Alligator mississippiensis: one gene and its partners. The protein of the gene in region 2 binds, or shares a complex with, the protein of the main gene of each other region. Links are inferred from orthologs where the notes say so. Each region holds a gene or a part of one and is shown on either strand. Other genes may lie near its edges. The genes, in order: FBXL13, DRC7, CCDC153 and IQCD.

Region 1 (7,346 bases), on a different chromosome or scaffold from region 2:
AGCTTAGGAGGACTGGGGGACATGGGAGATTGGTGTCACCTTAATCACGGGGGGCACGTGCCCCCACCAGCAACCAGTCAGCAACCGGGGGAAGGGGTCCTCGCATGGCCAATCTTGCTGACTGGGGGGTGGGGGCAGTCCCCCCGCAGCAGAACTCATCCACCGGGAAGCGGCCATGGTGCTCCTGGAAGCGACCGCAGCACTACACCCAGTGCGCTCACTCTCTGGCCAGCGCTCATGGGTGGGGCACCGGTGCCCACCCTGCCCATTGCCTAAGTGTGGAGCGCAGTCAGTCAGGGGGTGCACCAGCGCTCCCAGGGGGTGTACGTGCACCCCTGATGCTTTACCACTGTTGAGGGAGGTGCTGCTCTACAGTTATTTTTACTGGTTTAAAACCTCTTTATTAATGTTCCCATGGAAATCCAGGCTGCAATAACTGGCTACAAGTTGGGTCTATTTTTGGCAGTTTATTTGTACACAGTGTCCTAATTTGTTACTATTAAGGAAACTGATATACGACTTCTGCATAGTTTCAACTGAACTTCAAAAGGAAAAAACTGGCTGAGAGAAGAGAAAGGATGGGAGGATCAGATAACAATCCAAAAGCCAAAAGTGTGTATTTATTTTATTATCCCTGGAACACTTGTGACTTCAAGTAAGCCATGTCTCCCCTATGCTCCTTAGCACTATGGCATGCAATTCTACTCACTAGCTCAGCAGTTTAACAAGTCTTCAAACCCCTTTTGACACTGTGGGTGACCAACATATGGCCTAGCATATTCTAAAATTTGCCATAGTCATCTTTGATATAATTATTGATATTATAATTATTTGATATAATTATTGGCCATATGGCAATTACAACATGCAGTACTGCAACTTGAGGAGAGTGCTCTGCTACCCTGCACGCTATAGTCTTCCACCTGAAGTTTCCAAAAACAACTTTTCTACCATTTAAGACAAAGGAGGCTGCAATCTTCTCTGTTTTGTACTCAGGGTCAGGTTAATCACCATAATTGGGGTCAGGAAGGAATTTTAACCCATAGACACCTTGGTACCAACTGTGGGAAGTTTTACCTTCCTCTAGTGGCGGCAGGGGAGGTAGGGCCTCTTCCTGGTATCTTTTGAGTGTCCAGTAACAATCTTTTAGGCTAAGTACAGACGTTCGGGGAAGTTAAATCAGTTCAAAATGACTGCCTGATATCGGGTAAGTCAGGATGGGGGGCCAACGGGGGTTCAGGAGGATCAGGAGTCCACTGGGGAATGGGGGGGAGGTGAAACCCATGAGGGGTGGAGGGGGCAGGCACAAGCTGCAGGTGAGGTGGAGGGGACAGGTGCAACCCTCAAGGGGTGAGAGGCCAGGGCATGACTCGTGGGTAGGGAGCAGTCAGGCACAAGCCACAGGGTTTTGCTAGGGTCCGGAAGTGTCTGGAGAGATCAGGGAGGTTGTGGGGTCCATGAACGACTGGTGCCTCCTGAAACTGGGGGGGAACCATTTGTAGTCGGCAGCAAGCGGCAAGCAGGGAGTGCCCGCAGATGCCAGCGGCAGTGTCGGCGGAAGGGGGATGGCGAGCATCGAGTGGGGACCAGTTGCAGATGCTGCTGGCGGCAGTGGTGGTGAGGGGGAGCGATTGATGAGCAACAACTGCCCACAGAAGCCGGCAGCAGTTGGTGAGCAGCGACAGCCCACAGACGCCGCTGACGGCCAATTTCAGTCCTCCCTACTGCCCAGCGGGGTTCATAGGGGGATTTAGGGGGATTGGGCTTTTAGTCCCCTGATTCCCCCCAGCGAACCTACACCTCCAACCCTTCATCCCCTCCCCCCACACCAAGACTTACTTGCTTGGCTCTGAAAGCAGGAAACACTGCTAAAAGCAGCTATACCTGGCGCGGCTGTGGGATGGGGGTTGAAAGGAATGGCTAGTGGGTGAGGTGGGAAACAAGGGGCCAGGAGGACAAAAAATAGCCCAGTGCAAGTGCAGGGGGGGAGGGGTGTGAAAAGAGGAGCCCCAGGGCTGGGGGCCCGCAGGCCCGGGCCGTGCAGGGAAAGCGTACACAAGTTCCATGCGCTGGTTTGACCTAAATCGAACAAGTTTGATACTACGTAGATCCAGGCTTATCGTAAACCAGGCTCTGCAGTTGTTAGACTGGTTTGTGTGCAGTCTCAGTTCACGCTGATTGCCAGTCACCAGGCCGGCACCGGGACGAGCCCAGGTTAAATCGGGTGGCCATTTTGAACCCGATTTAACCTCCACAGAAGTCTGTACTCAGCCTGACAGAAGCAGGATGCTGGCTGCCGTGGTCCCCCTGCTTTACTTCAGGCAAGGTAGGATGCAAGGTCTTGTGTCCAGGTTGACGGCAGTTTTATAGCAAGTTTCAAGTCAGGGTTGTATAGGGGCCGGCACTGCTCACCCTCGGGCACAGCTTGACTACCAATGGGGCTTAGTGCAGGGATGTCCGAGGCGCGGGCCGGCAGCATCCTGTCATCCCGCTCGCCAAAAATTTGGCAGCGGGGTGACACCAGCTGACTTCCCGCCCTTTAGGCGGGGGGTTGGGCCCGACAATGTCGCAAAGTCCCTTCTGGCCCTAATGTCTGGGACATCTACTAAATACGCGGCTGCAACTGTACGAGAGGTGGCGACTCCTGCTCGCGCCCCCCGCGCAGACAGGTGAGCGTGACACCCCGGGCCCGGCGGGGATGCTCGGGGGTTGGCCTCTGCCGCCCCAGGCCAGGCCAGCGCTTGCGTGTGAGCAAGGCAGGACTCCCGGCCCGGGCAGAGGCCCCTGGACTCGCTGAGGCGGAGACAGGGGCCGGGCCGGGCCGGGCCGGGCCGGGCCGGGGCCACCCCCGCCCTGGAGCGGGGTACCCCCGCCGGGCCGTACCTCGTAGACGTCGGGCAGCCCGTGGCGCTGGAAGTACCCGCGGAGCGCGGGGTCGGCGCCGCGCAGGGACGACATGGCCGGGTCGGGCCGGGCCGGGCCCTCACCGCGGCCGCCCGTTGCCCGGCAACGCGCCCCGCCGCACGCTGCAGCCCCCGCCCGCCCCGCCCTGTCCCTCGGGCCCCGCCCCCCGGGGCTGTGCGCGCGCCGCTCCCTCCCTTCGCCGCCTGCGTCCCCTGAGCGAGGGGAGCCGGCGGCGATTGCCCCGCGGGCACAGCGGAGTCGCGTGGCAAACCGCCCATCTCTGGTGGCCCCTGGGCAGAAGGGATGACGTGCAGGAGCGGGCGGGGCCTGGGTGCCCGGAGACGTGGGTGCTGCAGCCTTTCACAAACGCTGAGAAGGAAAGAAAGCGGGAGCCTCCTCTGGGCTCCGTCCTGGACTCCTGTGACCTTGGGCGACCTTTGCTCACGGGAGGATGTATTTGTTGACCTCCTCAGGATCTGGCCATAAAGTCTAATGTCTCTGTTTTCCCATCTGTAAAATGGAGACGGACTGTCAAGCTAATAGGGATACAGGGAGGATTCACTAATACTTGCTAAGCACCATCCATAATGCAAAGGGGTAGGATCTGATTTGTTCATATGCTATATACTTTTTTAAATTATTTATTTTCCTTATTTTTCACAAAATGGACAAGCACAAAACAAACAAACAAGCAACTGCTCGTGGAATGTTTTTGATCTGATTGCAATATGCTTGTGACAAACCGTTGCCTGCCCTGTTACCGTATGGAAGTAGATGTTGTTATTAATAAGCCCTACTTTGAGAAATTAATATAATATTGATTTCATTGTAATTTTTTTTAATTTATCTATTTTTGCATCTAGGAGTCCTGCTGACTGACCAGAACCTGACTATGCTGGGCACTGTACAAATGCAACACAAAAAGATGGTCCCACAGTGTTTACAACCTAATGAGGAGATGGTTGGACTGCACATGAAGAGTTCACAGATGTAGATCGTGCCACTTTCTCCAACACTTTTAAAAATGTCATCAGTAAAACCCACCTGAAAAAAAATCAGAGTACTTTAACACGTCACTGTGATTATAAGTCAAGAGAAAGATTTACGATCTGTATCTTTAGCATATTGTAAATGTGTCCTTAAGAGATTTTTTAAAGTCCCTTGACTGTGTGTTTATATACATATTTTCCAAAAGAACTAGATTCCTTTAAAAGCATGCATCTAGCCACTTCACTTATTAAAACTCTCTTCTCTTGCATCTTTCTTGCCCACTGTTTTGCTAGGTATTTATGTAAGGGTACAACAATTAAATACAGGAGGAAGGGGAGGAAATCCGTAAAATAAACAGTGTGTTTACCTCCTCCCTCTTCTTGCTCCCTGTTAGCTGTTGGATGTCATGGGTTTTGTGTAAAAAAATAGTGATATTTTCCATGTTTCAGGGGTGTTGGTTATAGTTGCATATAGCCACACACCGTTAGTTATGACATACCAACATGAACAGTGTGTGCCCCTGGTGGCTGAAGGGGTACAGCTGCGCTGGCAGATGTGGGAGTGTGGCGGCGGTGAGCAGGGAGCTCCCACTGATGCCACCAGCACTGTCGGGGGGAAGGGGGTGGCGAGTGCCAGCCATGGGTTGATGACCACCCACAGGCACCGCCGGCAGTGTTGGCAGTGGCCAGGGGTGATCATGGATCACCTGGGGGTGCACCACCATGCACAGGGGGTGCACATGCACCCGCATGCACCCCCTACATGTTGCCCCTGCATACCATCCTTCCATGGATGGGGATATGGAAAATCCTCTAACAATTGCAACCCATACCAGAAGAAGACCCAACTCTTAAAAAGATATTTCCAGAACCACCCATCCTAGCCTTTAAACAGACATCGAACCTCACCAACCTCATCACCTGAAGCAAACGTCTATGGCCCAAAGCACACCAAATGGATCCAGACCATGCCTAGACAAGAAATGTAAAACCTGCCAATGCATCTCCAGCCCTCCCACAATAACTACACCCCACAACAGAACCATCACCATTCCTGGATCTTACCCCTGCACCTCCAGAAACATAAAACATCTCATCCAATGCACTGACTGCCCTGATGAAAATACGTAGGAGAGACCAAACAACAACTGTGTACCAGAATCAACGCACACCGAAAATCTATCAAAGACAGAAATACCCAGTTACCTGTGGGGTCACTTTTCTCAAAAGACAACCACTTTTTCTCCAATTTCTCAGTTCTAATCCTCAAAGGGAATTTGTAGAACACCTTTCATAGATGAGCCTAGGAACTTCACTTCATAAATCTACTGGATACAAAAAATCATGGACTAAGTCATATATATATAACCTGCCTGCCATCTGATAACTCCAGGTAACCTCTCTACATTTTTATCAGCTACATTCTGTCCCCAAGTTAACATTCCTCCTTTCCACACACCCCTCCCCCTCCCCACCTGTCTTGCACCTATGAACTGGCATCCCCTTTGATCTTTGCTACCACAGATTTGCATTTTCATAGTCCTGCATATTGGCTCAAGCTTCTATTCCACCCTGGAGAGCACACAAACAGCAGACTCTCCCTATGCCTAAAGAAGAGGGTTTGGGCCCGAAAGCTTGTAAAGAACAATTTTTCCAATGATTTAGTTGGTCTAATAAAAGATATCACCTTTGCCCAAAGAAGCTTGTCTGCAGAAAATAGTGAAGCATTTGTGCTAAGCAGAGGTAGCGGCCTATTTTTATGTACATAGAGAACAGTGCACCTAGGCCAGCTAAAAGAGCTATGAGCATCCCTCAGTTGGGGAGGCCACTAGATACATAACAATTGAGTACTTGGAACAACAAAAATTAGAATGGGTGTGACTGGGATGGTCAGTTTCATATGAAGGGAATTGAGTGGAGACACCAAGCAAAGAACTCCTGCCAGTGCCCATTGCCCCTTGAACGATTCCAAGGAGACTGTGGATGCCAGTCAGTGAAACTCTGCCCAGAGATGTGCAGAGTGACAGGAAAATGGCTCCAGTGCTTGGATTCCTCCTGGCCAGAATCTCCTCCTGGGCTGGTAGATGGCAAGTTTGGCCATCTACCAGCCCAGGAAGGAGCCAGAAGATTGACCAGAAGGCCCCAGGCAGGGAGCGCGTGAAAGGTGCAGAGAGATGTGCAGGTAAAGCCTCAGGAGGAGTGCCGTGAGGAGGTGGTGGAGGGGCTGCAGCCCGGTGCATTCAAGGTAAGCACAGGCAAGGACCTCCCTCTGCTGACAGATGTCAGGGATAAACAGGGGCAGGGAACTGGCATAAGGAATGACAGGAGCTGATTACTTTCACAAAATCTTTTTTTTATCAAAATAGCCATTATTTTGTGTCACAGAATCATAGAAAATGAGGGTAGGAAGAGACCTCAGGGGGTCACATCTAGTCCGACCCCTGCTCCAAGCAGGACCAGCCCCAACTACACCATCCCAGCCAAGGCTTTGTTCACCCTGGTCTTAAAAACCTCCAAGGAGGGGGAGTGGCCAACTTGCCTGGATAACCTGTCCCAGTGTTTTACTATCCTCCTAGTGAGAAAGTTTCTCCTAATATCTAGCTCCAGCTTCCCTTGCTGCAACTTGAGACCACCGCAGCTTGCTGGGAGCACAGGGGGGCTTCACGGAGTCCCCGTTCGGCGGGGGCGGTGCTGGCGTTCAGCTGCCTCTGGTGGAGACCCCGGTTGCTCTTTGCAGCACTTCAGAGCCCAGGGCGGCCGGCCGGGGGGCTGCCCCGCGCACGGGATCTCTAACACGGCAGCGGCTGCTTGAACACAGCCCCTTGGTGCCGCTCACAGGCCCCGGAATAGCAAAGCCCTCCCGCGCGGGCCGGGGAGGCGGCGCCCGGGCTCGGTTTCCGGCGGCGCCGCACGTGTCCCGGGGTCGGGCCGGGCCGGGGCCGATCGGCTCCCGCGGCCGCGCATGGGGGAGAGCGGCGCGCTGGGCTGGCGCGCGGGGCTGGCGGCGCTGGTGCTCGGAGCCGGCGCCTGCTATGGCCTGGCCCGGCTAGCCAGGAGCGGCGGGGCGGCCGCGGCCCCCAGGGGCACCTCCGGCCGGGGCGGTGCGTGCGAGCGGCGCTCGGGTGAGGCCCGGCCCGGGCCGGGGGGGTGGCAGGGGCGGGCGGGCAGGCGGGCGCCGCTCCGGCTCCAGGCTTTTCCCGCAGCCCAGCTCCGGTTCCGGGCACGCGGCGTTTGGTGCATGGAAGCTCCGCGCCTCTTCTCTGCCGGGACGATCCCGGAGCGCAGGCTCCAGCGCAGCGACTGAATCCGGAGTCACTTCGATTTGTCTGTCTCCGAGCAAAGAGCTGTTTGCCTCTCTATACGTACTGCTGTACATCTGTCCTGTAACCCACTGGTTTTTTAAGACCCTTGGCAATGGGTTTGAATATACTTTTTTTGAAAGTGACTAGATTC
Region 2 (7,859 bases):
CCACCCTTATTTCCCCTCTCCAGGATTGGCAGACACCCACATTTTCTTGTGGAAAGGAAGAAATTATTTTCCCTCATTTACTGTAGAAGGCAATACTTTTATTACAAGCACAGATATCACATGAAGCCTTCACCGCCATTGGAAAAGATATCAGCATCATATCAAATACCTGCCCCATAACACTGTAAGTAGCTGCTCCTAATTCAGCAAGTCTTTTCCTCATAGTAGTTGATGGAGACATGTAATGGAATGTAAAGGAGTGAGCTCTTACTCACAAAAACTTATGCATCGCTGATTCAATCAGTCTATATAGTGCCTCTCTACCCTGCCTTCAGACTTTGGTTCAGTGCCTGTGAGTAGGCTGATGCAGAGCCCAGCGTCACATCCACCCTCCGGTCTATCTCCCTAGGCCTACCTTGACAGAATGGCCCAGTGAAGCCCGGCTTGCAGATGCAGGGTGATTTCTCCTCAACTCTCTGACATTCTCCTTGGTGCTTACATGGATTGGGCCAGCAGACACGTGGACTTCTTTTGGGACGAAGGACAGCTTCTCCCATTCTGCCATGTAGCTTCTTCAAATCAGCTACATCAGAGGGAAGATGCATGTGTTTAAAAGAATGACTACTTGTAATAGTGGAGCAAGCTCCAGTCAACTCATGCCCAGGTTTGAGTTAAGGCTCTGCTCAGCAGGGGGTGGGACATTTATTTAAAGCAAAAACAGAGTCTCTCTTATTTAAAGTCACCATTTAGATTCCCAAACAATCTTTATGTCAATGACTGACCTCTGCTGAGGCATCAGAAATTAAAGATACAGTCACTCTTGAGCACCCGCCAAGAAAGCCTCCATCTTCCCTTGTTTGAGCTGAAACCCTGAACATCTAATCTCAAATTACATTCATGTTGCATGTTGCATGGACCAGTGTAGAGCTCAATGCACTAACTCTAGTATTGGGAACTATCCAGCTGCGCTAGCATGGTGCTCCTATGAGTTAACTTGCTTTGCTCAGAGACAGGGTGAATGTGATGATTTTGCAGCCTCTGAAGAACTGTCACCACTGGGTTGGCAGGTAGTAGGCTTCCTACTGCCAGGAGGAGAGAATGATTTCACTGTGCTCTCAAAGCTTTAGCGTAACAGCTGTATTTCTGTGTGTTTTTCCTCCTGTTTCCTCCCTTCCTGAAATCAATCCTTTCAAATTAGGATTTCACCCTCCTTTTTCATATTTTATCTGGATTTGTCCCTCAAGACGTCATTTAAAGAGACTCACTATGGTAGCTCTCACTGCCAGCCAGCCAGAGGGCAGACATCAGCATCCAGAATGTCACAGTCGCTCCCTGAAAAAACAAGCAGGTTTCAGTTTGTTTGGATTTCTAGCATGCTCATCAGTTATCTGTGGAGATGCTGATAGTCAGTTATAAAGAATCCTCTCATAGCATGATGAGATGACATACTTGATCTGTCTAGAAGGCAGGAAGCACACTTTCCTTTACAGTTATGGTTCTCCACTTTTTTCACTACCCCTCGTTGGTCTCAAGGTATCTCTCTGAAAATGGCAGCTCTTAGCTTTCATTCCTTTTAAAATTATTATTATGGGAAAATAATAGAGCAATTCTGCTGCAAAGAACTTGCAAAGCTCACAACAGGTTAGAATGGTTTTGCCACTATAGATTCCTATTTGAAATCTCTGGGTTTATTTTTTGAACCATGTGTAAGTATTTGCACATCTAACAGTGCTAATATTGTATGGCACTCCACAGCACTATTGAAAGGATCTTAAGGCACCCCAGGGTGTTGTGGCACCCTGGTTAAGAATCACTGCTTTAGAGTTAATTCATAGGCAACTGGTAGGGAGTGTACAGGGGGCCGGTGCCCCCCCCCCCCGACGGCTGACACTGACACTGTCAGCTGTGCTGGTGCCCCCCTGACAGGGCCACCACCGTCAGTAGCTTCTGCGGGTGCCCCCCCGATTCAGGAGGCACCAGTCACTCATGAGTTAATTAATTCAACATATGCAGCTATTTTTGTCTTGCAAGCTTAGCTTACCCAGATTTTGGAAGACATCTTTTACTCTAGCAAACTATGTCATTAACTCCCCATGTGGTCTCCCCATCACCCTGTTGTATTTTTGTACATTTCATATGTTATTTCTTCTACTTCTAATGCTATTTCTTCCATTTGAAGGCCACCAAGTCAATGCCTACCCTCCAGGCATGATCAGCAAAACCTCATTCCCATCACCCATCCTACTGAAGACAAAGTGCAGGAACAAATTTTGTTTTTCAGAAAAGCACTTTAGAGCTTAGCCAACCAGGGCCATTCCACTGACTCAGGGCTTGAAAGATCAGGAAACAGATAAAAATAAACCCAGATGACAAGGAACTGACCTCCTCCCCTTAGACCTCAGCCTCTGATCAAAATCACACAACAAAGGCTTTAGTAAACACTCACAAGAGAGGAAGGAAAGGGTTGTTCCTCCGTACAGGGTCCACTTTTATCTTTTAATGAAATATAAGTAAGTTTAAGTTACAAGGAGATCTTTTTCCTCCTACAATTCCTTCCACAAGTCTAAGGCAAGAGGGATTGCATAATAAAAGCTATGAACATGGTTTAAATTTATGTCACAAAGCAATAAAGTACAAGGCTACTTTCTCCTCTTCAAAGCTTATGCTTGCTCACAGCAATCAAGCCAGATGCCAGGGGTAGTTCCTTGCTTAAAGAGTTAGATGGGTTGGCACACATGAGCACTGTAAACCTGAATCCTGTATTTGAGATCTTATTCCACATTAGCATGAGCTCCTGGAGAGGGCATCAGATGGATTCTCCATTGCCCTGTGCTTCATGCAGTCATTTACATGAAAGCAAAAAGCTCCTGTTCTCATTTAGCAGCATTTGTATACTCTGAGCTAAACTTTTTTCCAGGGCTTCAAAACTGGAAAAGTAGGTTCTATTCTAGCACCTCCAGTAGACTGTGGGCAAGTCATTTATTTCTGTGTCTCACTTCCCCATCTAGGAAGTGAGGAGTGTTAACATCCACTCACTTTATGAAGCCCTGCACTTTGCTCTGTATAGAGGCACTACAATAGATAAATGGATGGAGCACTGTATAGAGACACTCCAATTATTAGTGCATTACTCCTACAGCTCTGAATTAGACCAGTCTTGATAGAGACTAGCAGAAGAAGTAGAAACCAGCTGCATTCCTTGAACTTGATTCCCCACTGCTGGTTACATTATGAAAGCACTGATATCAGTGCCAGGCACCTGTGAAATACTACTGTTCTAGCTCTTTGCATACACCTTGCCTAGGTGTAAAAAACTAGAAAAGGAGTAAAACAGTGGGGAATCAGGACCCTTTATATGAGGGGAGACCAGGATTTAGGAAATCCTGCCAATTGCTTTAATGACGAAAGAGAAAGACGGAGTTGTCTTCTTGGAAGCTACATCCTAGGAAGAAAAATCCACCACTTCAGCAATAATAATACAGAGATATTAATGTCATTAGCTTTCAATTTACTCACCATTGTCAGGATATTATAACCTCGCTTGCATACAACTGCCCGCTTTTCTGTTTCCCTTCACCCAGCTGGCCTCTTTATATCATCTTTCAACAGCTGATCCTTCCCCATCCCCCACCTCAAACTTCCCCAGTGATTGCATCAATCCTTTAATTGTGGCAATGGAGAAGTACTCATCAAGATCTCAACCCATGAACATCTTTCCTTCTAGCTCACTGGTCAGGGACCCTGACATAACACAGAGAAGTCAATGAAGAGAAGTCTTTGCACTCTCCCCTTCATGATTCTTTTTTGTTTGTTTTGGTAAGACAGATCCCAGTAGCAAGACTAGGAAGATACAACATTGGCATGGACTGGTACCAAATAAATCTACTACCAATGCAAATATATGCAAAGTTTGACTACATACATACTTCTACTCTGAATGGTTTTCGGTGGTTTGTAAAATGTAAAACATAGCAAGTACTACTGAAAGTCTCGCAAGCAATATCAAGAGATACAACTCTATTCCTATACGCTACACCTTTGCTCTCTGAGGGAATCCTCAAACAGTGGTAAACCACTTAATGAAAAGATTCTGAATGTTTTATAAAACCCAACAGTTTATGGAGTACAGACCAAATAAAATTATTTAAGATAGCATAATCTCATCAGAATTTATCACTACGTTCATAATATTATTCAAGACTCAGATTGCTGGAATCAAAAGACAGAAGAAGAATTTCAGCCGTTATTCACAAGAAGAAAAAAAAAACCTTGAAAATGTAAAACAAGTGCACACTACAGGCTCAGAAACCAGCAAAGAAAAATAACTCAACATTTTTTATTTAAAATAGTTGCCAAATTAATATTAACAGACTCCCCTCCCCCCCCCATAAAGTATATGCATCCATGTTAAAATGTGAGTAGTGAATATGCATTGCCCCTTTCATTGTTTCTTTTCAGTGTGTTAAGGCAAAAGGTGATGAGGAAAACCCTGATTCTGAAACTGAGTAGAAGGAAGGAGAGAAACTCCCTGGACTAATTTCTCAATCCAAGATGAATGAATTACAAATGGTAAACAGAGAGCACTGAGGTGAAAATTAGATGAAGGACCATGTTCAGCACAGGATGCAGTGTGGCCCTGCTCTAAGCCCAGCCTGTGAATATTTAGGCCTGGATTTTAAATTTTCTTTCCATTTTAAGCCTATGCAGGGGGTCGGACTCGATCTATTGAGGTCCCTTCCGACCCTAACATCTATGAATCTATGAATACTCTGCAGCAGATTTACATGGGAAAAACACCAGCTCTTTCTTAAGCCACCAGTCAGGCTCCTTTCTCTTACAGGGAACTACTAGAAACACTGAGACTACAACTCCCAGAAGCCTCAGCCCAGACACTACAGTTGCCATGGTGAAGGAGAGCAACAGGCTGGGAGCACAGGAGAAGCTGGTGAGGCTGTTCCTGGGGCTCCTGCCTGGGATAGGGGGAGGGTTGCAGGGAGAGGGATTTGGTTGTTGGGGGATTGATGCTTACCACCCGGGTTGGGGGTGTCTCAGAGACAATCGCTCAGTAATTGCACCCAGGAGGCACCAGGAGATGGAGTCTGGGGTGGTGGAGGTGTGTAAGTGGGAGACAAGGGCTATGCCAAACCCGGGAGAGAAGAAGGGGGTGGGTGTCCTTATGGGAAGGAGCAGGGGACCCCCAGGACTGTGGAGGAAGGAAGCGTCTATTGGTTGGGGCCACGGTGGAGGGGAAGGGCACTGGTGGAGGGGCAGGGAGCCGTTTGGGCAGAGATGTGGAGCACCACAGGGCATTGGGAAAGGCTGTGACTGATGCACAGGGCAAATTCAGCCCACATACGAGCTCCAAGGGAGCAGTTATATTCAGAGGTGAATTTATCTGTCTAAGCAAGGAAGACCAAGCTAAGAGATCTGGTGCAGCCTTCCCAGGGCAGGGAGCGGGTCTCTGTGCTGCGGAAAGATGAGACAGCTGTGAGCTATCCCTATCAGACAACATGAGTCTTGGGGAAACTGAACTGTAAATCAGAAAACCAGACTTTTAGACTACAACAACAGGGGAGGGAGTATTCAGGGCAGGGAAGGATCATCTTGAAAGGTGGGGGTGAGGCAAGGAGGGGCTGGAAGCCAGACACTGGAGGAGTGCCTGGGAGATAGAAGGAGATAGAACTGGGATCATCTATGACTGGGGGAGGGGGTGGGGCTTGACCTAGCTTTGGTCTTGATCTGCAACACCCCTGTGGCCATACCTCGGCTGAATGCAGAAGGAGTAGTTATGCGTTGGCGCAGGACAGTGGTTCCAGGAGATAGAATCAGAAGGGGGAGCTCTCACTGCACCAGCCAAAGGAGGGGACCTGCAGGAGAGAGTGCTGCTACATAACACTAGACAGAGGAGGGGGTTGTTCCTCACTATTTCCCTTTCACTTTAGCCCTGCTACTGCCCACAGCCCTGTTCCCCAGCAGAGGCTCAGCAATGCAACTAATAAATGCAATGAATAGAAACAAAGATGGAGCAAGGTGGGAAATAGGGGAGACCCAGAAAAGCTGAACACATACATAGAGAAACAGATTTACAGATATGGAATAGTACCCAGAGATGTACAGCCATAGGGTTGTCAATGATGAGATGAGCTGGTGCACTCCGGCGAGAAGCTCCACTCAGGTGGGTCTGGTCAAAGCAGAGTCCAAAGGCCAGGTCAGGAAGAAGCAGAACTCAGGGGAATGGCCCAGATAGAACATGCAGTGTGAAATCCCTTCTTCCTTTCTATCCTTCTGGACATTTCTAGCTTAGTTCAGTAAATGCCCTCACCCTTCTGCTTTCCCCACATACCTTTCATACTGCCAAGCTAAACATTGCCTGATAAAGAGGTGTGTGTCTTCATTTTCGCTTGCTATCTCCCCCACAGCCCAAAACACACTTGGGGTCAGTTTGACCTAGAGAAACAGTCCTTGGAGATACTTATGCTTCTCTGCTATTATTTCCATGTAAAAATTCTCTACTGAAGAACACTTACACAGAGGTCTCAGAGCCCTCTGCACAAACTTAACGCAAGAGTCACACAACTGCAAAACAGCACATTAGACAGGACTGAAGAGATTGGAAAGTGAGCTGTATGAGAACAGGTGGAAGGAAGTAGGTATGTTTGGTTTGGAAAAAAGGAGGCCAAGGAGGGACATGCTAGTAGTTTTCAACTGTTTGAAAGACGTCCTGTGGAGACACATTGTTTTCCCCTGACCACAAAGGGCAGGACACATGGCAATGGGTCTAAACTTCCCCAAAATAAGTGTAGAACAAATCTCAGGGAAAATTTCCAAACTGTTCGAGCAGTAGAATAATGGAACAAGTTGTACAGGGAAGCTGTGAAATCTCCTTCTTTGGAGAGCCTAAGCCTAAGCCTCTTTCTGGGATGGTTTAAGGATAGTGAATCCTCTGCCTGTTCAGGAGGTTGGACTAGATAACCGTTGTAGTTCCTTCAAGCCTTATAATTCTGTTATTCTATTAAATGATCATGGGACTCCAGCACTTTGGCCTACTGCTTAACAGAATTTAAAAAAGAAATATATAGGATATTTACATGGAAAAATGGGAACATCCAGAACTTTCATCATAAAGCCCGAAACGTTCATATATTCTTAAAGAGACCAAACCCTCAGGCTTTGCGGTACAAACCAAGCTACAACTAATGAAGATCAAGAAGAAATTCCCTGTTGGGAGTTTTATTCTGTCTCTGCTTACTGCAGGCTTTTCTTCCTTCAAGCAGCTGGTGATGAACATTTCTAGCGACAGATTATTGGACTATAGGTATCACACAAGTCTAATCCAGTCTAGCAGTTCCAATGAGCTTAATCAATCAAATCAGCAATAGGCTTCTTGCTTACTCATTTCCCAGCCATATATCTTACTCCTTTGCAGTCAGCATCCACTGTGTGATTAAATTCATACCCAGCATCAGGTTTTCCCAAGAATCCCACTCTGAGATAAATCAGCTCTTCTCATCCAAAACACATCTTCAAGCAAAGTATAACAGTGTTTCTGTAGCACCCAGTTCCACTCTCCCAGTCTCACTCTGGCAAGTGTTTTTCACCTAGGAGCCCTTGAGGGGACAAAATGGAGGCCCTGAGGGAGAATGAGGCAGAGGAGAAAGAGGAAGAGAAAAAAGCCTTTAAGATCGGTGATGAACTCCAAGACCTAGAGGAGAAGTTGTCAAAGATCCAAGTCCATATTCCAAACATACAGTAAGCAGGGTGCACGTGTGTATATATGTGTGTGTGAGAGAGAGAAATGAGAACTTATGCTGCATTTCTTATATGTTCCCCATTGGATCAGATTTACAGAAATCATATAA
Region 3 (7,320 bases), on a different chromosome or scaffold from region 2:
CATAGCTTCTGTGCCTGCAGGTCACCACCCTCCTCTCCCCATGTCTGGGAGCAGGAGGCAGCAGGGAACTCCATGAGCTTCCCTGCCCTTTCTGCCGGCACCTGGGGGGTCCAATCTCATTGCCACCGCCCTGCGGGGTGACTCACGTGCAGGATCTGCTCGTACTCAGTCTTCATGGTGTCGATCTTGGCCTGCAGCTCGGTGAGGCTCCGGTCCTTCTCGCCCAGCGTCCGCTCACTCTCCTCCCGGGCCTGCTGGCTCTGCTGGCGGCACACGGCTGCAGGGGGATGGGGGTGAGAAGGAGCAGGGCTGGGGGCTGAGCAGCTGCAGGAGGTAAGGGGTGGCTGGAGTGGGGGAGACTGTGGGAACTGGAATGAGCTGGAGTATCGATGCCCATGGATCATGCTGGGACATCGGGCACAGGGTCTAGTCTGACATCTCTGGCAATGCCTAGCAAGGTGGTGCTGCTAGGGAGAAGAGCCCACCATGGCAGGGAGAGGGGGGATTTGTACCGAGCTGCTCCTGGAGCTGTGTCACCTCGGCCTCCAGGCACTGGATGCGAGTCTCTGTCTGCCGCTGCAGCTCCTGGTACTGCCGGATCATCTCTGCGGGGAGAACAGGGCTGAGCCCGGCTGCCAGAGTCAAGTCCCTGGCTGTGTCACTTATACACCGGGTGCACAGGCCACTAAGGGACTTGCCCGTGGCCACCCAGGAAGCCTGTGGCACACCATCCCCAGCTCCCAGGGCCTGTGAAACCCCATGGCGGGCAGAGCTAGAGCAGTTCTGCAGGGCAGGGAGGGATGGGGGGCTCTGTAGCTAGGTGGGGGTGGCTGGGGGTAGCCTAGGGTGGCATGATGATGGCAGAACTGCTCGTCTTGCAGGGCCCTGCATGGAATGGAGCCAAAGGAAATATGGGGCAACCCATGGCACTGCTCCCAGCCTGCTGCACCCAGCCCAGCGTCCCCTGCACGCCTACCAGCTCTGACCCACCTTCATAAATGTCCCTCTTGTCCTCCCGTGCTGTCTCCAGCTCCTGCTCCAGCTCCTGCAGCCGCAGCTGCAGCCCCTCGCTGTCCGCCTTCGCCTGCCTGGCCACATCCCTCCGGAGCACTGGAAGTGACAGGCAGGTTAGGACCCTGCCCTGTGCTCTCTTCTTGTCGGCTGACCCTGGCCAGAAGCTGGCAGCATTACCCCGGCACAGCTGCCAGGAGCCCAGGTCTGGGGACCGCAGCCACGGGCCCCTCCTGGCGTGGGGGTGGGTGCTGGCTTGGACCCTACGGGGCTGCAGTGTGTGTCAGTGAAGACCCTCAGCTGGGCGACCATGGGACCAGTAGTGCTCCCAGTGGTGCAGGGAACTGCTGTGGTTGTGAGAGTCCCTGGCCCCAGCCCTGGCCCCAGCTCCTTGCTCCTGGGCCAATTCCTGCAGGCGTTCACCAGCTCTGTGGCCAGAGGGGATCCCTGCAACCATCCTGGGCTTGCTGTGCCCCAGGGCTTCCACCACCTCGCAGCGGCACATCTCAGCTGCGGGTCAGTGCATGGCAATGGTCCTAGATGGGGAGATGTCTGTACCACCCTGCCCACAGTCTGCCCCTCCTGTCACCTGGCAGGGCTCATGTCCCCACTGCCCACCCAGGCCAGGGGCTTACCCAGGTGCCTCCTGAGGGTGTCCACCTCCAGAGCTGTCTTCCGGGACTCCTCAGCTTCGCCTGCTGCATAGACAGAGCACAATCACGCATGCAAGACGGAGCATCGTTGGGCATTGGACACCTCCTCCCTGGGCTGGGGAAGCTCAAGTGTGTGGGGCAGGGGTTCAGGGTCCCCCAGGGCTCTGATCCAGAAGCCTTGGCTTTCCTATAGCTTCCATGTGAAGCTGGGGTCTCCCCCAGCCCTATCGGGGCCAGTCCAGGGCTAATCTCAAAACTGCTCTGTACCCACACCACACCTGGGAAATGGGGAACATGGCACTGGCTTCAAGCAGGACGTGCTGGTGCCTGTGTCCCATATACCCCCAGCACTGGGTTTCCCTGCTTATGCTGGTTACACCCCAGTGGGAGGCACGGGGCTCCTACAGGGTGGTCGGCAGCTTGTCCTGGCCCCTGGCTCCAGCTGCCTGCTGCCTCTCATCAGCCAGGAGGGGCTGGGCTGCTTTGGGATGGGGGAAGCTGAGAAGGGACATGGTGCATCCCTGCAGCCTGGGGGGCAGGACCTGGGGAAGGTTTCTGCCCATGCATGGGATTCCCGCTCACCTGCTGCAGGCTGCTTCTTCTTCTGTCTCCCTCCTTTCTTCCCCTTGCCCTTGGCCTTGGGGGCCATGCTCCTGGTTTGTCTGTGAGGAGAAACGGGCAAGGGGTATTGAGGCTCCCCCAGAGCTTCTAGGTGATGCTGCATGGAGGAGAGGCCGGATGGGAAGGCCACTTCAGCCTGGCATTTCCTGCACGGGCTGCAGGCATGGAGGGAACGGAGGCAGACCACGCTTGCAGCTGGGCTGTACCGTCCCAGGGCAGCACGGAAGGTAACCAAGACCCCCAGCAGTCCTCTGCCATGGGGCACTGGGGAAAGCGCACCATCCATCACTCACATCATCCCTCTAACAGGCAACACCTCCCCCAGAGATTGCTGGGCCCATGCCACAGCTGGGGAAACTGAGGCACAGAAAACAAAGGCGGCGAACCCAACAAACCAAATCAACCCAAGCCCTCCCCCCACAAATCCTGACTCCCAATGTCCCCTGCCCAGCCCATAGCCCCCCCCAATCCCTCCCAGCCTCCTGTTCTTCTGCTATTCCTCTCCATTTGCCGCACAAAAACCAGCCACATGCTGCAACAGCTCTGCAAGGGGAAGAGGCTTGTAGATGATCGTTTCCAATGAATCTCCCCCAAACCTCAAGTACCTGGAAGTGAAGGGCTTCTTGCGTGCGAGGCTGCAGATTTCCAGCAGGAAATGTAACTGGCCTGGCATGAATGGCGTGGGGAAAGCCAATCAGCTGGGAAGGCACAGCAGGCTGGTGTCGGGGAGCCTATCCCAGCCTGGGAAAAGCCGGCAGCTTTGCATTGCTAGGCAGCAGGCTGCTGGCTGCTATAGCGACCGGGGAAGCTTGGCAGCCAGGGGCTGGGCTGCAGGGTCTGAGGCAGGCGCAGGACTTGGCAGATCCCACGTCCTTTGCATCCAAGATGCTGGAAGGGGGAAGGCTGTGACATCTCCCAGCATCGCAGCACAGCAGCTGGGCCAGGGTCAGACGGGTTGGGAGAGCAGCCCACAGCCGCACGCCTGCTCTGAGACCCGCGTACACATGCAGAGCGGCAGAGGGTGACACACATGCACACAGAAACAGCTCCCAGGCTCAGATACACATGTGCACACACGCATGCAAGCACGTGGACTCGTGCTTTCTATGTGTGTCACGTTTTCTCCACGGAGGCCTTGCTCCTGCCCTTGGGGAGGTCAGGCTGTGGGGCCAGTCATGCAGAGCCCTGCTGTGTGACCGATTCCCTTCGCCTTTTCCTGAAACCTGTCGGGATGTCTTCAACCTGCTCTTTCCCAGGTGGATGGCGCCTCCCCACACTGCAATCTGCCTTGTTTAGGGCAGAGATGGGAGCATGTGCTTTGCCTCCCCTCCTATGTGGACTGCTCTCCCTCTGTGCCTCAGTTTCCCCATGTGTCAGATGAGGGTGGGACTCCATGGAGCACCTAGGTGACGACTTGAGCCAGACCCCTGGCTGGTGTAGGAGCCTGGCTGCTTGCACTGGTTGCAGGCCCCGTGTGTGTGAGCGAATCACCGGGAGCTTTGCGTGCATGAGAACAGATCGGGACTAAAAAATACATACATCTCAATCTAGGGGTCTAGATCTGGATTTTGTGACTCAACCTCCTCCAAGGCAACGGCACCACAGCTCTGCTCTTCACCTTTCTCCTTCCACAATCTCCCTCTAGCGTGCGCAGTACTGTGGTTTTGCAGGCTCAGGCCACCCCTGATGGAGGGGGAAGGGAACAGGGGAAGCAGAGAGATGAATTACAGCAGGGCTTTTGCTTTTGGCACCGTTGTCAACCAAAACACCCCGAGGGACACCGACAAGCTCCTGCACATTGTTCTTGAGCTGCTTTATTAGCTGGCCGTCCTCGCTGTTGGCTGCAGCATTTGGAGGGAGATGGATGGCAGGCTCGGAGCTCCGTGCTGGGCTGCGTGGAGCAAGCAGGTTTTCTCCCGGACAGAAGAGGAGCTGCATGAAGGCAGATGGGGCTCCACATGGGGAGAAAGGGTGTGTGAGATGAGACCCCAGACTCATCTGTTGCTGCTAATGTCTCCTGGCGCTGTGTCTTTGCTGCCCTCTTGGCACTTCCTCAGGCTTCAGGAGCACACTGATTCATAGATTCATCAACTGTAAGGCCAGAAGGGACCTTGGGAGATCGTCAGGTCCAGCCCCATGCACCAAGCAGGAAAGGCTCTTGCAAGGCATGATTATAGTACCCCACTATGGCTCTGCGGGAAGCAGCAGGTCCTCTCTGTGGGTCTTGGTCGCTGATTTTATGCAAAGCCTGCCTCTCAGGAGAGCTTAACTACATGTCCCATGCTGGGGCAGTGGAGACATGCTCCCACGACTCTTTCTGGCCAGGGCAGTCCTGTTCCCCAGCTAAGGACAGCCTGACTAAGTACCTACCCCGCATCAGGTCAGGGCCAGGGCAGGCAGAAAGTGTTGTGAAGAATTCCCCTGAATGCCCCACCCAACTGGATGAGGAGAGGGAGGACCACACCAGCAAGCCCAAGGCCTGAAGGCACAGGATCTGTGCCATGATGGAAGATGCCTTCTTCAGTCAACAGTTTTCCAAAGCCAAGCGAGCTCTGTCAGTCCCAGTGCGCTCGGCCCCTGGAGGATAATGCCATCGGCCTGGCTCCACTTCCGGATTTTTTTTTAATTGGAAATTTTTGATGCATAGAAAAAGGAACCTGGCTTTTCAAAATAGGGAACTGCTCCTGTTTTGCAACATCTGTACAATAATCTGCTCGCAGCTGAGCAACCCTGGGGGAGGGATGGGAGGCTACTAATGAAGCAACCGCGGTCAAGGAGCTGGGTTGAAGAAGCAGCAAATCCCTTCTTGAGTGCTAGCTCTGTTGCCTTCATAGAGGAACCGGAGCACGCAGGGGATTGCCAAACCAGCAGCAGCCGGGTTTTATACTGGGGCATTCGGTGTGAACAGGCAGAAATCTCTCTGATGAATCCTTTTGTGTTAAAAAGTGGTGATTTGGCTCAATGGGGATGTTGCCCTGATTTGTTTTGCTTTCCCTGAACTGTTTTTCAAGAAAGAAAAAAAAAAAGGGAAAATACCTCCTCTCAAAAAAAAAAATATATAGATAGATATAGATACACACACACACACACACATATATATTTGAGATGTTTTAAACAAAAGACATTGGTTATTTTTGTCGACTTCACATATCCCTCCTACATGTACGTCACTTTGAGTAGGGTCCATTGATAGTAATGCTAAATAAAAAGCTCGAACAAATCCTCCACTTGCTTCTAAACCAGTTTTACCATCATTTGTTGATGTGCCAAAAAGTGTGAGGGTGTTTTGATCTGGGACCGAGTCTTCCCCCCACCACTATAATTGCAAACAAACCTCTTCCCTCAGGTCTTGGCAGGAGCCCCTTTGAAATACATGCACAGGTGGCAAATGAATGGATGCTCAGCCTGGAAACTAGGCTCCTGACAGATTGGCATGCATGTGAAGGACCCAGTGGAACAATTGGGCAGATGTTTGCCTTGAGGTCCTTGGTCTGCATGTCCCCTGCACCTCCTGTCTTGGAGGGCTCTGGGCACTGGCAGCAGCCCTCCGTGCCAATGGGGCTTCACTGCAGCAGGAACTGGGCATGGAGGATTTTGCTGGGATGGAGCATGCATTATGCTCAGCCATTTCCCCCCTTGCAACAGGCAGGAGAGGGCCCGGGTGGTAAAAATCACAGTTAAAAATATCCTCTTTATTTAAATCCATTTTGTACAACTGCAAATTTACATTTGGGGGCTTAACCTTCTTCCCATTTCATGGTCTTCACATAGATGCCGTTTAATCAGCTCTCCAACTCGCTTTCTGATGGGGCAATCTGGGGTCTATGGGCAGACTGCGCTGTGTGAGAAGCCACACGGTCAAAATCCTCCTCAGTGCCAAAACAGACAAGCCCAAGGGCCTCACTAACCTCATTCCTATATGAACATCCCACCTGTGCACCCAGCGGATGAGAAACTACCCCGGGATGCGTGCCGTGGCCAGCAGCTCCCCGCGTGTTGAATTTCCCCAGTGCTGCAGTGCTGTTCCAGCCCAGCTCTTAGCTTGGACCCATATTCCCACACCCCCGGGGGCTCCTGCACAGCCCTTCATTAGGGGCCTTCACAGGCTGTCTGGGAGCTTAATTTGGGGAGATGACTTTTGCAGTGGGTGTATCTGCCATTGCACAGTATGGCAGATGCACTGACAGTCTCAGTCTCCTGCTCGTTGTCTGTGGCAAACTGGCTTTGCTGTAGAGCGAGAGATTTCACCTTGCTGCCGGTTTCTGAGAAAAAGAGGATTTATCCTCCAATGCCGCAGACACTTGTCGCACTGTAAGCACAGGCCTGGGGACCCTTCCTGGGAGTTCATGGAAACCAGCAGCTTCGGGGCTGATCCTAGCTGGTCTCGGCTTTCATGCTCTTGGGCAGGGATTTATTTCATCTCCTTCAAGTCAGAGACTGGAGGGGGGAAGGCATGAACCCCCGGGTGAGTCCCTCCTCTTCCCACCCCAAAGCAATCGGGACACAGCTCATTGGGAAGGTCCAGGGATCCCCCTCATGGGGACTCTGCAACTGCACAAATGGCAACCGGTCAATATTTCACGTGCATTTAAATCCAGCCAGATTTAAAATACATTTTAAAAAGCAATACTTAAAACTGGCAATGATGTAAATGCTATATTAAAATTGCAGATTTAAATGCACAGTTTAAATAGCCCCGATTTAAATGCAGTTTTTCAATTGCACTGATTTAAATGCACTATTTCAATTGTGGGTTTAAAAGCATTGTTTCAGCAGTCCTGATTTAAATGAGATATTTAAATCATTCTTATTTCAATGCACTATTTCAATCGCGGAGTTAAATGCATGGCTTAAATAGCCCTGATTTAAATGTGGCATTTAAACTGTTCATACTTACATATACTATTTATTTTGTGCTGGTTTAAAATGCGATGTTTCAATCATGGATTTAAACGCGTGGTTGAAATAGCCTTGATTTAAAACGCAGCGTTTACAACGTGTTTATTTCAATGCAATCTTTCAAGTGCAGATTTAA
Region 4 (7,279 bases), about 12 Mb from region 2:
GGAGGTGATACTTCCTCTTTATGCGGCATTGGTCAGGCTGTAGTTGGAATACCGCGTCCAGTTTCGGGTGCCGCACTTCAAGAGGGATGCAGACAACCTCAAGAGGGTTCAGAGGAGGGCCACTCGTATGGTTAGGGGCCTGAAGATTAAGGGCCCTGGATCTCTTCAGCTTCTGCAAGAGAAGGCTGAGAGGTAATCTTGCGGCCACCTACAAATTCTTCCGGGGGGGGGGGGGGGCAACAAGGAAGAGATGCTCTGTTAACCAGGTCACCCCTTGGAGTAACTAGAAACAACAGCCACAAACTGACAGAGAGCAGATTTAGGTTAGACATCAGGAAGAACTTCTTCATGGTAAGGGTTGCCAGAATCTGGAATGGGCTTCCAAGAGAGGTGGTGTTCTCCCCTACCTTTGGGGTCTTTAAGAGGAGGCATGCACTAGGGGTGTGCAAAATGGGCCCTATTCAATATGGATTCAGCCCAAATAGGGGACAGTGATTTGATTTGCTGATTCTGATCACTATCCCCGATTCAATTCAACTGAATCAAAATCTCGGAATTAGCATTGAATCTTCAAAATCAGCTTTAAATGTTTTTTCTACATACCTTGAGGTACCAGGTGCAGCTTGTGAACACTGCGAGCCGAGGCAGATGGAGTTTCCCACAGGAGCATGACGCCCCCCCTCCCCGTGCTCGGCGGTGAACCCAGAAGTGGACCAGAAGCACTTCCAGTCCACTTCCAGGTCTGCTGGGAAGCGCGCTGTCCCCGCCCCCCCATGCCCGCTTGGCTTGGCAATCGGCCACAGAAGGACCCCGGGTGCTCCCCCAGACCCAGGAGTCACCAATCGCCAAGCTGAGGGGGGCCCCCCCCAGCATGCTCTCCGGCAGACCCAGAGGTCAACCAGAAGTGCTTCTGGTCCACTTCCAGGTCTGCTGCCGAGTGAGCTGGGGAGCCCCTCCTGCACTCCTGTGGGACCCTCCATGTGCCCCAGTATTGCAACACTGATGAACTGCCTGCTACCTAGAGGTATGTAGAAAAAACATTTAAAGCTGTGTCTATGTCCAAATCGCTGAACCTCTCCAAATCAATTCAGAGGGTTCCGATTCGATTCAGAGAAATTAAAGGGTCCTCCGATTTGATTCAGATTTGGGGATTTGGCCGCCAAATCTGCACCAAATTGAATCACGCCCTGAGCAGCCGCCCACTCTTTGCAGCCCCAGGATTGGTGCTGAGCTGGCAGGGCTCCCTGCACCCCCATGCAGCTAGGCCCCACCCGCGCTCCCAGAGACTTTGCAGCCAATTTCGACCTGGTTAGGCATGAGATACGCCAGAAGGAAAAATCCAGAGACTTGAGAGTTTGAGGTGAGACTTGAGATGCAAGATCATGAGTCGAACTTAATTTTACTTAGACATTGCAACTCTCGCGATAATTTTACGAGAGCTGGCATTACTGTAAAAGACACACAACAGAACAGAGAGGTTTATACATCAAATCACCAAATTTGACCACCCAAATTATCCAGTAAAGTCACAGAATGCTGGGGGACTAATATTAATACTCTGAATGATATCTAAGCAGAAAAACATATTACATTACCAGAAGCAGCTAACAGACAGCAGAATTGCAGAAGGAAGGCTAGCTCAATTAGCTTGCAAATAAAGAACTTTTTCTGCAAGCATCTAGTTGGTCTAATAAAAGATATCACCTCTACCACGCGTTCTGATTCCTTTTGCCTCTAGACCAATACAGCTACAACCTGGATACCTGTCACATGGAAGATATTGAATTTTAGCCTATTTTAAAAATTAAATCTTCATAATTTTACAAGGAGGAAGTTTTACCACCTGAAACCTGAGACCCTGCTCCTGCCATTGTTTGAGATAATTTGTATCATCACAGAGCCCAGCTTACCACAAAAGAAATTCTTGCTCAGAAGAGCATGCCATCTTTTTACTCTTCTGTGAAATATGAAACATCATAAGTCAGAAGGAAATATGACTCTACATCCTACTTGCCAAAACTTGGAGGTAAGCAGACAACTCCAACTTTTCTCTGAGCCTAATCTACATAAAATGAACTGTTTCAAACAGGAGATTTTACCACACCTTCAACTCTCCTATGAAATATGAACTTTTATTTCTACCTAGAAGCACTTTTACAGTCTTTTCTCCTATACCTGAAGAAGGGTGCTTGTGCTAAAAGTGACAAGTATGCTGAAAGTTTACAAATAAAGACATTTTTGCAAACATCTAATAAAGAATATCCCCTCTACCATTAGTTCTGATCTTTTTGCCTCTACAGCAGTGATTCCTAAACTGACAGATTGCACATCACCAGTGTAAAAATGATACAACCTTAAGTACCACCAGAACATTTTTGTCATATAAAGTAATTATAATAAATTTGTTAAAGCAGACCACGGACAGGCTGTTGGAATACCAGTGGTGGTATACGTACCACAGGTTGGGAACTGCTGCTCTAGAGCAATACGGCTACAACTTAGATACCTAGTTTAATTAGTGGAACATCAAGACCATTAGAAAAAAGAAAGAGTCCGTTAACATCTGTGGAATCAAGAGATTAGAAGGACTTGGGTAGATATGAATTAGCCATGAAGTCAAGTGACTCCCTCAGCACTGCTGCCACTAGAAATGCTGCTGCCACTTTCAGGCAACTAGTTTTAAATTTGGGGGTGGGGAACAGGAATCAAAGGGATTTGCGACTGCATCCGTGCACCCCCCGTGGGTCTCCCCCCACTTGTGCGTGTGTGCATACACATACACACTGCAGACTCAGGTCACAATGATATATACAGAAATGTGCGTGTGCATATAAACACACAGGACTCCTAGGAGAAATGATCTCTTTTATTAGACCAACAAGATTTTGGCAAAAAAAGTGTCTTTAACTGCAAGCTTTCAGCCACAAACACCCTTCATCAGGCATTGGAGAAAAGATTGTAGACATTCTCCTGGGTAGAAATGAAAGTTCATATTTCATAGGATTTCACAGAGGAGTCAATAGATGGAAAACTCCTCTGGGCAGTCAGCTCATAGCTGGTCTGGAGCCTCTCCCCTCCTGTGAGGATCTGCGATGATGCAAATTACCTCGCAAGCTTGCAATTAAAGATTTTTTTTTGCAAAAATCTTGTTGGTCCAACACAAGATATCATCTCTACTATGAGTCCTGATTGCCTTTTCCCCCAGACTAATAGGGCTACAACCTGGATGCCTACAGACATGCGCATACACGCATACGGACACACCCCCCTATGGGTATATAATCATCTGTGCCCCGAGTGTGCAATGCCGCCGTTCCCATCCCTCGCTTTCACTTCCAGAAAACCAACACCGACGTCTCCCGATAACTTCATGGTCAGCCGCCTGCCCCGCCCGGACGCAGCACCGCCACTCGTCACGCCAGGCAGCGCCGCGCGCGCGAGCACCTCCTCGCGGGAAGCGGCGCCGCACTCCGCCACCCGCCGCCCCGCCGGGCGCCTGCGAGGAGGTCCCCACTCCGCACAAACGCGCTCAGGAAAGCGCCATCTCCAAGCCCCGGGCTCCGGACTGCGGCACCCGGCCCCTCTCTTGCACACACGCAGAGGCCGGGGCACAAGGTGCGCCCGCGCCCGCCCCCGACGCGACGCGACGCGACGGGACGGGACGGCAGCTTACTGTGGTCGGGCGGCCCGTCCCCGGCCGGCGCGGCGCTGGGGGCCGCGGGGCCGCCACCGTCCTCCAGGGTGAGGATGAGGGGCACGTCGTCGTCCGGGCTGCCGGCCATGCCCCCCGCGGCCGCGCTCAGCGCTGCGGGCCCCGAGCGCCGCCCGCGCAGGCTGCCGCCACCGCCACCGCCGCCCGGGGCATGTCGAGGCAGGCGCGGAGCGGCCGCCCGCCGCCAGGGGGCCCCCGCGCTCACGTGAGCCCAGGGGGCGCCTTGCGCCCGCCGCCGCCGCCTCGCGCCCCGCGCATGGCCCCCGCCCGGCCCCTCTCCGCCCGGCGCCTAGCCTCAGCCTGCCCCAGCCCGCCCCCCTGCAACACCCATTGGCTGATGCCCGCAAGCCGCTGGCTGATAGGCTCTCGGCGACTGCCGGCTCGCCAATCCCCGTGCGGCATCTTCTCTGCTCCCGGAGGTGGTCAATCTGGGTTCCTCCGCCCCCCCATCCCGTATTGGCCTTCCATTGGCTGCAGGTCGCGCTCATCATAAGAAGCCGGCGTCTCCCATTGCCTAGGGAGTCCGGTCCCGCCTCCCGGTGAAGAACGAGGCGAGCCGTTGGGCGCGCCGTCCCCTAGCAACCCAGCGACGCCCATGGCGGCCGCGGTGCGGCGGCAGCGCGGGCAGATGCCGGAGGCCGCCGCGGAGGCGGAGGCAAAGGCGGAGGCCGGGCCGCGGCGGGGCACCATGGAGACGCGGCGCGTGATCGCGGTGCTGGACCAGACCATCGCGCGCGCGGAGCACGTCAGCCTCCTGCCGCACGTGATCGCCAACCTGCGCGACCTGTCCCGCGCGCTCGGGCCCACGCTCAGCCGCGCCCTGGCGGAGCACGACGCGCTGCGCCGCGCGGGCGGCCCCGGCCGGAGCCTGCAGCGCTCGGGGCGCTGCATCACGCGGCTGCTGCAGGCGCAGCCCGGCGCCGCCCAGGCCGTGCGCGACGAGGTGTACGCCCGCGACCTCACGGACGAGCTGTTCGTGCGGGCCCTGACCGAGTTCCGCGGCTTCCTGCTGGAGCGGCTGCTGACCGGCCCGCGGGAGGAGGAGGCCCGCGCGCGGCTGGCGGCCGACGTGTCGCTGCGGGACCAGCGCAACACCGAGGCCGTGGCGGTCCTGCGCGCGGATCTGGCCGCCGCCCTCCACAGGCGCGACGAGGAGGTGCGGGGCCGGCTCGGGCTCGGGCTCAGGCTCGGGCAGAGGAGTGGACGGCACAGACCTCCCTGCCTCTGCCCCGGGGGAAACGGCCCCTCAGGAGCAAAATAGCTCCCTGCAGAGCGTCTCTGGGGGGCCTCCACCGTCCCAGGGTGCTTTGCTTCCGGCCCCGCGAGCGCTCGGGGCTGGACGATAAACGGCGCAGCGCCGAGGCTGCTGTCCCAGGGCCCTAGATGCCGCAGACTTGCTGCTTGACCTGGGCCGGCCTCTGTTAAGGGACTGATGTTCAGTTTCTCCAGGGAGAGTCTCTGTTCTCTACCAGGAGTGTACACAAGTTTGTAATTCTTTTTTTTTTCTTTTCCCCAGAGTAAAAGTGGCTGCTCTGGGACAGGAATAACTTGGGGACAGCCCGAGGGAAATGGCTCCCAGGAGACGGCACTTATGTACGGGCAGCCAGTGTGCTTTGCTGCTTTTCCGTCCCCCTCCCAACCAAGCAGGGGGCAGAACACGCCCCCTGAGTGCTTCAGGCTGAACAAGCCCAGCCATGAAGCACTTGGGAGGCATGTTGTGCTCCTGGCTTGTTCTCTGCCTGAATTGAACTGCAGCACTTGAATGCAGGCAAGCATAGAAGCAGATTTTCTTGGCTAAGGGGAGGGTGGCAGGGGAGGCTGAAGGACTCTTCTATGCAGGGCATAAAGTCCCTGCCCCTACTTTTTCCTGACCCTGCCGATCCCTTCACTTAAGGAAAAAAAGCCAGCTAACTTCTCTCCTGGACTGCGTGCTCTAGGGCCCCCTGGCTGCCAGCATCATCGCTGCAAGCTTTTTGCTTCTATGAAAATCTGTACAGGTCATTTTTTTCCAATCAGGAAAACAAACCTGGGAGAACTGGCTAGCAGCACACCGGGGCACTGCCAGGAAACTGGTTAACCACAAAGCTAATCCACCCATTGCCTCTCATAAAGGGGAGGTTGCTGGAGCTTACAAGGCCCCTGGTATATGTTATATAATACAATTTCCTGCTGAATCGCACAAAAAATGTAGACCATCCACATGTGAACTAAGGGTCACGAAATGAAATGAGAGAGTAGTAAGTTGAAAATGAACAAAAGGAAGTTCTTTGTCACATAGTGGGCACATATACACATGTGCATTTAATGTGCAGTATATAAGGCACATTCAGGGGGCGCATCTAGACGTGCGCCCCTTAACGCACCTAAAAATGGTGATGTGGGGATATTCAAACCTAAATTTGATACCTGCATAAAGTGGGTATCAAATTTATACATGAATAGCTAAGTCGCATTAGCGAACGCAAAGACATGCTAATGCGCATTAATGCGGTGTGTACCTATTGACTTGGGACTAACTTTAGTCCCAAGTCGGTCCACACACCCACGTTAACGCGCCTTAGCAAATGCATGTGTAGACACGCACCTAAATCACCTTAATGTGTATTAAGCTAATGCACATTCAGTTTAGGTGTGCATAAAAGCACATGTAGACATGCCCAGTGTGTAATTAAAGTGTGGAACTCATTGCCACCATATGCGGAAGCTGACAGTTGAGCCAGATTCAAAAAGGGACTGGACAAATTCTTGGAGGAAAGGGGCATCAGTAGCTCGAGCACAAGAGTCAGGGTTACAGCCTCTGAATAAGAACTTCCTAGATCTTAAATTTTGGAGTCTGCAAATGGGAGAGGAACAGTGGGAAAAAAACTGGTCATACCCGGACAGACAAGGTACTTTGGCTAAATGTGGTATCTTTTATTAGACCAAGTAAATAGTTGGAAAAATTGTTCTTTACAAGCTTTTGGTACAAACACCCTTCTTCAGGCACAGGGAGGGTCTGCTGGTGTTTGTGTACTCTCCTGGGTGGAATAGAAGCATAAGCCAATATGCAAAATGCAGGTCTGTGAAAATGCAAATGTGTGGCAGGGAAGATCAGAGGGATAGCAGTTGAGAGGTACAAGACAGGTATGGAGGGGGAGGGGGCAGGGAAGAGGGGAATGTTGCCCTGGTGATAGAATATAGCTGGTAAAATGTAGAGAGTTACCTGGGGTTATCAGATGGCAGGCTAAATATAGACATTGGATTTATGGCACATTATAACCTGCATGACATCCGATAACCCCAGGTAACCTCTACATTTTACCAGCTATAGTCTGTCACCAGGTCAACATTCCCCACACCCCATACCTGTCTTACACCTGTTAACTCCCATCCCTCTAATCTTTCCAGCCACGCATTTGCATTTTCACAGACCTGCATTTTGCATATCGGCTTAAGCTTCTGTTGTACCCAGGAGAGTACACAAACACCAGCAGACTCTCCCTGTGCCTGAAGAAGGGTGTTTGTGCCCAAAAGCTTGTAAAGAACAATTTTTCCAACTATTTACTTGGTCTAATAAAAGATATCACA

The links.
Region 1: DRC7 (region 2) and FBXL13 share a complex: the UniProt entries of both Homo sapiens proteins name them as parts of the nexin-dynein regulatory complex. The link is inferred for Alligator mississippiensis from reciprocal best matches to the Homo sapiens genes DRC7 and FBXL13.
Region 3: DRC7 (region 2) and CCDC153 share a complex: the UniProt entries of both Homo sapiens proteins name them as parts of the nexin-dynein regulatory complex. The link is inferred for Alligator mississippiensis from reciprocal best matches to the Homo sapiens genes DRC7 and DRC12.
Region 4: DRC7 (region 2) and IQCD share a complex: the UniProt entries of both Homo sapiens proteins name them as parts of the nexin-dynein regulatory complex. The link is inferred for Alligator mississippiensis from reciprocal best matches to the Homo sapiens genes DRC7 and DRC10.

The regions. Positions count from the first base shown.
Region 1 is NC_081827.1:24,344,835-24,352,180, forward strand, and holds the start of FBXL13 (F-box and leucine-rich repeat protein 13), read right to left. Parts: upstream 3,007-7,346; 5' UTR 2,959-3,006; coding exon 2,884-2,958; intron 1-2,883. Other genes in the region: ARMC10 (armadillo repeat-containing protein 10), read left to right, coding at 6,856-7,015. UniProt on the Homo sapiens protein: Substrate-recognition component of the SCF (SKP1-CUL1-F-box protein)-type E3 ubiquitin ligase complex.
Region 2 is NC_081833.1:38,303,366-38,311,224, forward strand, and holds the start of DRC7 (dynein regulatory complex subunit 7), read left to right. Parts: upstream 1-4,854; 5' UTR 4,855-4,945; intron 4,946-5,762; exon of another isoform or gene 5,763-5,867; intron 5,868-6,103; coding exon of another isoform or gene 6,104-6,121; exon of another isoform or gene 6,122-6,327; intron 6,328-7,602; 5' UTR 7,603-7,621; coding exon 7,622-7,749; intron 7,750-7,859. Other genes in the region: uromodulin, read right to left, coding at 416-583, 1,266-1,332, 6,104-6,121. UniProt on the Homo sapiens protein: Component of the nexin-dynein regulatory complex (N-DRC) a key regulator of ciliary/flagellar motility which maintains the alignment and integrity of the distal axoneme and regulates microtubule sliding in motile axonemes.
Region 3 is NC_081839.1:31,191,867-31,199,186, reverse strand, and holds the start of CCDC153 (coiled-coil domain-containing protein 153), read right to left. Parts: upstream 3,006-7,320; 5' UTR 2,959-3,005; coding exon 2,891-2,958; intron 2,327-2,890; coding exon 2,247-2,326; intron 1,710-2,246; coding exon 1,647-1,709; intron 1,111-1,646; coding exon 991-1,110; intron 606-990; coding exon 513-605; intron 278-512; coding exon 147-277; intron 1-146. UniProt on the Homo sapiens protein: Component of the nexin-dynein regulatory complex (N-DRC), a key regulator of ciliary/flagellar motility which maintains the alignment and integrity of the distal axoneme and regulates microtubule sliding in motile axonemes.
Region 4 is NC_081833.1:26,028,033-26,035,311, forward strand, and holds the start of IQCD (dynein regulatory complex protein 10), read left to right. Parts: upstream 1-4,264; 5' UTR 4,265-4,307; coding exon 4,308-4,868; intron 4,869-7,279. Other genes in the region: TPCN1 (two pore channel protein 1), read right to left, coding at 3,674-3,782. UniProt on the Homo sapiens protein: Component of the nexin-dynein regulatory complex (N-DRC), a key regulator of ciliary/flagellar motility which maintains the alignment and integrity of the distal axoneme and regulates microtubule sliding in motile axonemes.